Drosophila melanogaster: one gene and its partner. The protein of the gene in region 2 interacts with the protein of the main gene of each other region in a pairwise test. Each region holds a gene or a part of one and is shown on either strand. Other genes may lie near its edges.

Region 1 (6,326 bases), 700 kb from region 2:
GGGAAGCCAAACTTACGCCATAATTGCGGCAAGCGATATGCGTTATTTCCGGCAGACACAGATCCTTGTTGCAGTAATCCGTAGATAACGCCTCCTGGCTGATAAGGACTATTATAAGGACTGAAAGAAGGTACAACATCTGGTGCCGATTGCTGGAGTCAAAATACAAAACTATTTTGAAGAAAACTGATCTATCTATACAGCGTAAAATCCATTGTAACTGCCTAAATGCAGCGTGACAATTCTATAATATATAGAGCTATTACTAGTTTTATTTCCAACAGACAGCCATATTCAACAAGGAATCCAAAAAGCTAGAAGGTTATTATTAAGATATAAAATTTACAATATGTGTAAAACATTGGAATTTCGCATGACTCAATTAAATCAAGGTAATAAAAACATAAAACATAATTGCGCATCTCAACTAAGAAAATAATAAATAAAAACTTTCGATTGGAATGTAAATCCACTAGTAATCTTTAGAAACCCATTTACCCACTGCTTTTTCATTGGCAAAAACATCCGAGTGCAGAAGTAATTGAAAACATGTTTGCATTTCTTGTTTTTGTGATTTTGTGAAAGTGCACATCGAAACAAATGTGCTTCAGTTGCATTTGATGTGCACTTCACTGGTTTATTACAATTAACACTTCATGTAGTTCAGTTTGGTTTTCGTTTTGGATTTGCTTAATATAGATGTATAAATAGAAGGTTGCGCTTAAGTTATATGTACACTTTACATACATCACATGGAATATAAAAATGGCTCGTTGTGCGATCGCTTTCACTTGGTTTTTTACCAGGAGTTTGGAGTTTTTTATGCAAGAAAACATGGAAAGTAAAGTGTTCAGCTGAGTAAAAAAGCTATAACGAGACGGAAAGGGGATCCTCAGTTCACAGTGCGATTTCACTGGCCAAAGTGGGGATTGTAGGGAGCTTGCTTCTCATATCCAGCGGGCATAACACTAGGTCCTGGATTAGCCATGGACATGTCATACGGCGGCGGATTCATGTTGGCAGCCCCGGCGCCAGGATACGTCGGATACGCCACGCCATGCGTTTGCTGACTGCAATGGATAAAAGCATATCAATTAATATTTGCGTTTCGCTGGAGCACTAGCTTCCACTTACCCCGGCATCGGCATAGGCATTGGCATTTGCTGCTGGTTCTGGTGGCTCATCGGCATGGGCATCTGCACAGTCACGTTGCTGCTGGGAAAATGGGGACATTAGAATAGTTTGCGGCAGCACTTTAGGCTCCGTACTTACCCGGTGGTCTGTACGGGGTACGAGGTCGCAGTTACGTAGGCATTGCTCGATGGATAGCCCGGCGGAGGCAGCTGTGTGACCGGATATCCGCCGGGAGCCGTGTGGGTGGCGGAGGTCACCACCACAGGCGCTGAAAGTAGAAAGAACGGAAAAAAAGAAATTAGAAACAGAAAATAGCTGCGCCAATGATTCTGAATCATCGCCAACCGCGAATCGCAGACTCGATAAGCTCCCACTTTTGATTAGACTCATCAGTGTGAACAAAAATTCCCCTTTCAGCACTATAAAAAATTTTCAATATTATATTAATCTAAATTAATGTAAGTCATAAAAACTTGATGTATATTATATTTTGCTTTTTTAATTTCATTTGGGGTTTTTTTGGTGTAATTTCTGTGCTTTTTTTTTTTTTTGAGCTTTTAATCTTATCCACTCAATTTATTTATAGAAAAGGGTAATAACAAGCCCGTGTCACGTTTATATGCACTATAAATACATTTTGTGTTATAATTAATATAAAAAATATTTTTAAAACATATACTGCCTGTATCGAAAACCAAGAATAAGAAAATACTTCACACTTAGACAAATAAGATAAGGCTCAACAAAATTTGCTGCACCACTATTTCTTTAAGTGTAATTGGCAATCCATTCATTGCTCAGTCAATGTAATTACCAACGCCTTCGCTGATTGTGTAGCCAACATTTCGCGCTGCTTTCTGCCTGCGTCTAATGCAAACAACGAAGGAAGTAATGAAAAATATGGCAAAGGCTATAGATAATCCAACCCAGAATGCCCACATTCTCGATAAGTCAGGGAATTTAGCTCGAAAAAACACAATCGCTTTCCAGGCGAACACAGAACAGACTGCAAGTCCTATGTCTGACAAAACCCACTCACTCGGACCGCGTCTAATCAATGTTCGATTTTATGGCCAATACGATAAGCGGGTGGTGTACTTGCATTATGGTTTTGTTTATCTCTGATATTGGCAGTACGAAACAGCTTCAAAATTACATAAATCATAAAACATAAATAACTCTTCCCGTAGCTGCAGCTATTTACCCATGGATCTGAACTTCTTGGCTATGCAAAAGAAGCAGAGGCACATCAACGAGGCAATCACTATGAAGACTGAGACTGCTATGATGGGAATAACAAACGGCTCCATCGCGAATATTATTCTATACACGCTGAACTGGTGCTACAGCGTGGAGTTCACGATTTCAACTGTTTCATGACATTGGGGTTTTTGTGTTTTTTTTTTTTTTTTGTGTAAATGGGAGATATTGGAAACCCATTGGACGGCCGCGTTATCGCCACAAACGGGTGATCCCCGAAAACACACCTGCACCCTTGGTGAGCGCCGCTCTCCGGGTTCGACCACGGGTCAGAAATACAGCCGCGGATGTCATGAAAAATACGGAGAAGGTGAAGAAAAGTATCCAGTAGATGCCCGAATCATCCATGATTATGATACTGACTGAATAAGCGGTGCACAAAGACTAAACAAAAGCGAGAAACTAAAGCCGCCGGATTGGCAATCGAAAAAGTGCCAGTAATGGCCAAAGAAAAGGGCAATCACACTCATAAAGATAGCACTTATCAGTGATAACAGTACACTTTCAACCATTATCATAACTTACTTAAATCACCGAGAGCCTGACGACGCTTCCAATGTAGTGCAACCAGGCCGATCAATGCCAAAATGAATATTTTGAAGGTTATGCGAAAAACGGATATGAAAACCACAGAGCGTTCCTGGGACTCCAGCAAGGAGCTGACCTCCGTTTCGTTATTCATTTCGGGAATACGTTTACAAATTGTTCCAATATCGAAAGTCTTCCGGATTTCGAGCAAGATTTAAGGCATATATCACAACAAGGGCAACCAAAACCGTGAGGATACAAGCTTCGTATGCCAGAAATGTCCAGTTTATGTGCAGTCGCTGGGAAATGTCCTCAAACACATCCAATATGGTGGCATTCATCGTGAGGACCTGCGACCTAACTAAATGGGTTTCATAATCATTTTCTGAATTACCCTGCATTTCGGGATCAACGTACGTCAACACTCAATCCTTTATGACCATTAGCCATTAATACCTAATTATTGATTTGCGTTTAGGCGTAAACGAAGCATTTAGTGGCACATTTGGAAATGGAATCCGAAATAGTAGGGAATCACAGTCGTTGTTATCAGCATATATTGCACAAATATAACAATAACACCCAGTCATTACCCACTCCAAACCAAGTCCTAAATCTCAGTATACCAAGATAGCCGGACTATTTCACAACAGAGGCTTTTAAAGTTTAGGATACTGGATAAGAAATTATTTTTAATTGTATTTGGAGGGGAAATTAAAAGCCTTAAATATGTCTTACATCTTTTAATATTAACTCGGATTTCTCATGCAAAAGACTTTACTTCTAGCTAAAGAACTAAATTCGCACACAATCCAAAATTTCTTCTAGACAATGACTTGAATATTTGAACCATAAATAAAATTGACAGTGCAGATAGGAAGCAAAAGCACTAAACCTTGGGCAATACCCATTATTATCATATATTTATCAATTTACAAGATCAAGTTAGGAAATCTAATGCAGACGCTTTGAATGACGTCTTCGAGTAATGGATTTAATTAGAAAAACAAGTTTTTCAGTGTATTAGATGCAGATACCGCTATCATGTGAGTTTTTACCTCTATTTACATGTGGCAATAATGAACAAAGTGACTCAAAGTGGACAATACGCAGAATAGTTTCAAAATGTTGTTAATTTTATCATTAAAAATTATAATTATAAAATAACTACATGCCACTTGATCTAACTACATAAAGCGGAAATTTTTGATTCATTAAGATGTGTCTCTTTTTAAAGCAGACAGCAGCATAAAAATAATAAGTACGGTATCTTAATAATGGGTTACCAACCTTTACAGTTTTTAATCTCCTTTCCAATTTTTAATCGTAGGCATATACAAATGGCCCCAATACAAATGGTCAATACAAAAATCGCAAACACTATAATCAAACTAAAGTCGTCTTCATTTGAATTCGAATTGAAAACATTCACAAAAAGAAAATTCATGATTGCACTGCAAACGCGACCTATAGACTAAGATAACTATCTGAAACTGCAATTATCTGTGAGTGTTAATAGATGCTGAAATAAGAGAGTTGGCTTATCGTACAGATACGTTAAGAATTGCTCTTACCTTCCGTCTTATTGCGTTTACAACAAGAACAACAACACTTGCAATAGCCCCAGATAAAAAGCATAAAAATGATTGCTATTAATCTGGCACCCGCTTCAGGAAGTTTATCGACACTTGGAGCATCGTATTTAGGTGGCGGTGGGAATTCTAAAGGAGGCATCTTTTTTCTAGTAAACACGTTTGACTGCAACGAACTGAGTAAATGAACTGGTCGAACTGTGTGTCTAAGCTCAGATCTTTTTGGACTGAATCTGGGAAAAAATTCAATTCACTAAGCCCTTTTTATTACGATAAGAAAAAGCGGACGAAAAAAAATATGCATGTTATCGTTTAGACTGTGTGTAAAATATTTATCCAGAATACAGAAAACTTATATAACCAGCTGGATTTTCAGTATTTAACAAGTATGGATGAAACAAGTACTACTTAGCTCTTTGTTTAATTTTAGTAATTTAGTGAACCATTCGCACATTTTTGCAGCGTACTTTTAGGCATAACCAACCAGAAGCCGCTAAAATACCCAATAAATATAAATTCTTGTCTTCTTTGTCTTTCCATCTGCTTATAGAGTCTTTGATATGTGACATCATAAATGGTCTCAAATGTATAATACATTTATTAAGATTTACAACGCACAACAAGTACGTAGTTCAATAAAAAAAACAAATTTGCGATCGATTTGAAATTTATGATTTAGTCACTATGAGTCAGAATTACACTCCATTTCCCAATGAAAGCAGTGACAACTACTATGAACTACAATATTACACCGAAGATGATTGAATTATTTGAAATTATAATAGGCTGACAAAAAAGGAAACTTTACGATCGAGCAGAGGTAAATGCAGTACAAAAACAATACATTGAAGAAAACTGCGATTGAAGTATATTTTGCCATTATTGGTCAAATTTTGCTAAATTCCAAATCCCTACCGATCCGAACGAAAGGAGCAAAGAAACTAAAATCTTAAATCACTTTAAATAATTACTCATACGCATAATATACAAAAGGTAAATACCACCATTCGCTTAAAAATTTGATTAGAATAATCATTACTCACTAAGCCGCACTCAAAAAAGTTTAAAAGATTTCATTACTTTTCTATGTGTATATCAAAAATTATGACCTTTGAATAGAAGTTTTTTAAACTTTTCTAAATTACTAAGAACGTAGTAAAACAGCAACATAGCGTTAATGCACCGAATGAATCAAAATATTTAACCAAAATTTGTAGAAAATTAAAATCATGGAAGCAATAAAAAAATAAAATTATTTTTTCAGTACCACATTCTTAAAAAGTACCATTATTTTTTTGAGTACGCTTAAATGTTGTAAACGACTTATAGTGGCTGCATCCGCTTTTTTTTTAAATCTTGTTCTTAATGTTCTGTTCACATCAGAATTAAATAAAACATATATTTTAAGTTCTTAGCAAAGGCAAATAGTGTATCCACTTTTTTTTTGTTTACGAAAAGAAAGCTACTATATATAAAGTAATTTTCTTAAACTTTGAATGTCGTCGTTTTTGTAAACTTTCTTATTTATTAAGCAGTTGATTCGGCAATCTTGTAGTGTTACAACCATGTAATAAATAACGAAACTAAGTAGTTAAACATAAAAAATTAAATAGATTGTTCTCCGTTCTCCATTTTGTTGAACAAAACAAGACACAGGAACTTCACACACGGAGCTTCGTCATCTGACAATTGGGAAGAACACAGGACAGCAACAAAGGATTTCTGCATCGAACTATACTAACTTGCTTCAATCACATCCTTGCCCGCCAGGCGCTGTTTCCTTTTGCGGATCACGTATCCTATGATCATTGC
Region 2 (3,688 bases):
TCTATTGATGTCCACTATAACAGCGCTGTCTTGTCCATAAAAACGAGGCAGCATCGACACTCTAGCCTGGATGCACTGCACCATGGCCAAGGACCAGAGAAAACGCATTAGCACACCAATCATACCGTTCACTTCAAATGTTTAAGGACAACTAACCAACGAGATAGTTCAAAACCGTTTGAAGTAGACTTTCAACTCTGGCGCAAATCTCGTTTTAGGGAACCCACCATCTGTGCTACCTCTGAATTCATGGGAACGTGCTTGGAAGCCTACCTGCTGGGTCATAGAAAATCACGCATTTCCATTGAATTTTCCACCTACGCGACGAGCAGGAATGCGATTACGCTTCGCTACCTGGTTTTTGTTAACAAAAGAAATGGTTTTTCATGAGGGATTCGAATTTCAAGGGCTAAGGAAAACGGGGAAAATCAAAGGAAACTAAAAAGAGACCTAGATAAACAGAGTCTCCTCCAGATGAGGATGAAATACAAATTTCCGTGGTATATTTCAACAAACTAAAACATGTTTTATTATCGTAATTAAACCTTAAAGTGGAACACTCGATGGCCACGCGTATGGTACAAATTGTGGCCATCAAATCCAGTCACAGATCTCTTAGAAACTAGGAGGAATTCTAAATTCGCAAGCTTTGCCCGAAGGATGCGTTTGTGGGATAGGTTGTATTTACACAGGGTTTACGTACATGAATTTTGCAGCGGAAAACAAATTGCAAACAATTGAGAGACACACGCCATGTAAATTGGTTTAGGGGGGGGGGGGGAGTACTGGGAATTTTACATGCCTCTGGGCAGCCGCATGGCTATCAACACTTCGACACGCCCACCAAGGCCGGACGTATGCAACGCTCGTGCAGTTTGTAGCCCAGCTTGGTCACCTCCACCACGGTGTTGGGCTCGACGGTCTTGTCCTCCTTCTGGAACAGCGCCTCGTGCTGATTGGGGTCGAACTTCTGGTTGATGGGATCCAGTGGCTCCAGTCCGTGTCGCTTGAACACCTGCAGCAGCGAGGCGCGCGTCATGGTGAGGCCCTCGTACAGGTTCTTCAAATCAGCATTGCCGCTGAGCTGCAATAATTAAGATCATTAGTAAGGGTAGCTTTAAGAATGTTAATGCAAAACGATTAAACTATCTATTAAGTCTAAAATGGCTAACAAGTTATCCAAATATCTCAATTTAAAATACCCCAACAAATCTATATGTACAATTAGATGTATGTAATGCAATCGGGTTTGTTATCTCTCAGATAGAAATGGAAAGATCGGGAAAATACACCTTAAAATGCTATGAAGATTTTCAAGTATTGGCAACAAATAATTACGAAATTCTTATCTCAACATATGCAACTTCATTGCGAGTCTGAATCCTTAAGATACCTTAAACCTTAAATCTTAAGATAAGATAGTTTGTACCTTATCCTTGGGCACCGCCTGTGTGGCATGTCCCAGTGTGTCCGCCACCTCGAGCAGATCCTTGCAGAAGCTCTGGATGCCAAAGATCTTGGCGTCGCTGATCTGTTTGTTCAGTCGGTTCCTCATGTTTTCGCTGTCGGCTAGCGAACGCTTGTATTTGTCCATTAGCTCGGCATTCTGCTCCTTGGCGGCGGCCAGTTCCTTGGTGAGTTTCTCAACTTCTGGCGACGATTCGGTGGCCTTCTGCTCTGTCGCTTCTTCCGGCTGTTTCTCTGTGCTGTACAAACGCAGGGCACTGGTTGTGTGGTAGACGATTGGGAGTGAGACGGGAGGCAATGTTAGAATTACATGCGAAACGACAAACGTGCGCCCTCATTACGTCACAGATAAGAGGAAGCAATGCAACCGGAATTACCTCATATTTTGAGAAGTGACCGATGACCTCAGGTGGACGAGTCGCCGGCCAAACATCTGCAGTGGTAAGGCTGCCTTTGCTGACATTATGCTTAGCTTTTTCGTACGTTAAATAAACTTATTCCGCTTTTGACGTAAAATCGTCGGCTTCACAGCTCTCTCAACAATCGATGTGTGTTCGATAGTAATTGTTTATCGATTCCACCCGGTGTTGCCGCTTAGTGTGACCGCAGCGCAGCTGTAGAATGCAACAGTCAAGTCGGATGTAGAATAGATGTAAGCTCGGATTCATTCATGTAAAAAATTATTTACATTAAATCCAAAGAAAATCTCTTTATATAACTAAAATACTTAAAAATAAATTAAGAAGGAAATCGGTGCAAGTAATAAATAAATATTTAAATAGCATCAATATTACCAAAATGAAATCAAAAATGTATGAAATTTTACCACTTTACACACTTAAACCCAAAAATGCAATAAACAAACAATTATTATTAATAAAGAAATCCCTACTTGATCAGTAGTTCCTGACACCCCTGAGAATTCACCTTGGTCATAAATACAAATTTAAAGCGACAAAATATTTCTTATATAAAATGGACAAACGGAATATGCAAATGGCATATAAAAATGTGAAAATGTGTATCGACAATATTGGCAGGCGCAGGTCCACTTAAAATCGATCGGTGTTAATGCAAAAATGGGCCTATATTCTTGGCGCTACCTTCGGACATATATTATTAAGAGTGCGCCACCGGCTATTAATCCACGCATAGCTTATAAATCGATCTCATACCAGATCGGCCACGCCCCGGGGCCGCCAAAATATGGACCGCTCGAAAAAAGTTGCTCTGGAAATGTAAATATCGGAAGGCTCTTAATGAATTCAAAGTACGAGTGTACGAGGCGGGCATAGCATCTATTCAACAACTTACCTCTCCGATCGCACTGCCAAGTATTACATATGCGCATGCATTGTATATATTTTGGAAAACGAAGCACGAGAAGTCACTTAGTTGGATCTCGCCACCGGAACAACGAGGTTGTCGTCTCAAAACTCGGTTTTTTTTTCATACTTTTCCAATAAAAAAAAACAACAAAAAATGCGTGAGGAGGATCTCCAATTGGCCCTCCAAATGGTGGCAAGTACCTCGGTGTCCAGTTCTCTGGAGGAGGAAAATGATGGAGCGGCAGCCACGTCGCCGGGCAACTCACCCAAGCCATTGAGAAGAGTCCTGGATTTGAGTGAGAGGCGTAAACAATTCAGGTGGGTGGACTAAGAAAGCTTCACAGGAAGGGAAATAAAGAGGTAAACATAGTAAACATGTAGTTTAGACTAGGTTTTATACAAAAACTACAGCTAAAGCTAGTTTCAACAGTGTCTATAGTAGATTTCCTATTAAAGAAAGATTCCAAGTGCTATTAATAGCTATCTGTGCAATAAAAACACATTAAAAAACAATATATTAAATGATATTCTTAGATCTAATTAAAGTTTTTCACACAATGCCATTTCTCCGCCATATAGTTGTATATTGTTTATAAGCGGTTCTAAAAATAAACAACAAAAATGTTTGTTTGAGAGGTTAAAAGCACTCAAAAACACGTACAAATTAGGCTAAAAATAAAAATGGTGTTTTCACGTGCCTGACTAATTTGCAATGCCAAGTACACTCCTTTGTCGACATTAATTATGAATGACGAATGCTCTTCTGAATGACGAAGGTGAAGACATCCGTTGGGTTTTTAAATTTCGCGCTTACTTTCGCGATGGGCCAAGAAATCGATGCTATCGATTATTTAATCGACTTATTGACAGCCCTAGCCAAAACTTTGACCAGT

Evidence for each region. The genes of interacting proteins can lie anywhere in the genome.
Region 1: the proteins of Roe1 (region 2) and CG17574 interact in a two-hybrid assay, tested with the Drosophila melanogaster proteins (one large-scale study listed by BioGRID).

What each region holds. Positions count from the first base shown.
Region 1 is NT_033778.4:12,848,827-12,855,152, forward strand, and holds CG17574 (uncharacterized protein), read right to left. Parts: upstream 4,715-6,326; 5' UTR 4,657-4,714; coding exon 4,497-4,656; intron 2,757-4,496; exon of another isoform or gene 2,743-2,756; coding exon of another isoform or gene 2,622-2,742; intron 2,518-2,621; exon of another isoform or gene 2,445-2,517; coding exon of another isoform or gene 2,339-2,444; intron 2,123-2,338; exon of another isoform or gene 2,076-2,122; coding exon of another isoform or gene 1,949-2,075; intron 1,403-1,948; coding exon 1,273-1,402; intron 1,216-1,272; coding exon of another isoform or gene 1,213-1,215; coding exon 1,135-1,212; intron 1,071-1,134; coding exon 911-1,070; 3' UTR 532-910; downstream 1-531. Other genes in the region: CG30486 (uncharacterized protein), read right to left, coding at 17-139.
Region 2 is NT_033778.4:13,552,423-13,556,110, reverse strand, and holds Roe1 (Roe1), read right to left. Parts: upstream 2,035-3,688; 5' UTR 1,931-2,034; coding exon 1,845-1,930; intron 1,725-1,844; coding exon 1,430-1,724; intron 1,085-1,429; coding exon 824-1,084; 3' UTR 505-823; downstream 1-504. Other genes in the region: link, read right to left, coding at 1-123. UniProt on the Drosophila melanogaster protein: Essential component of the PAM complex, a complex required for the translocation of transit peptide-containing proteins from the inner membrane into the mitochondrial matrix in an ATP-dependent manner.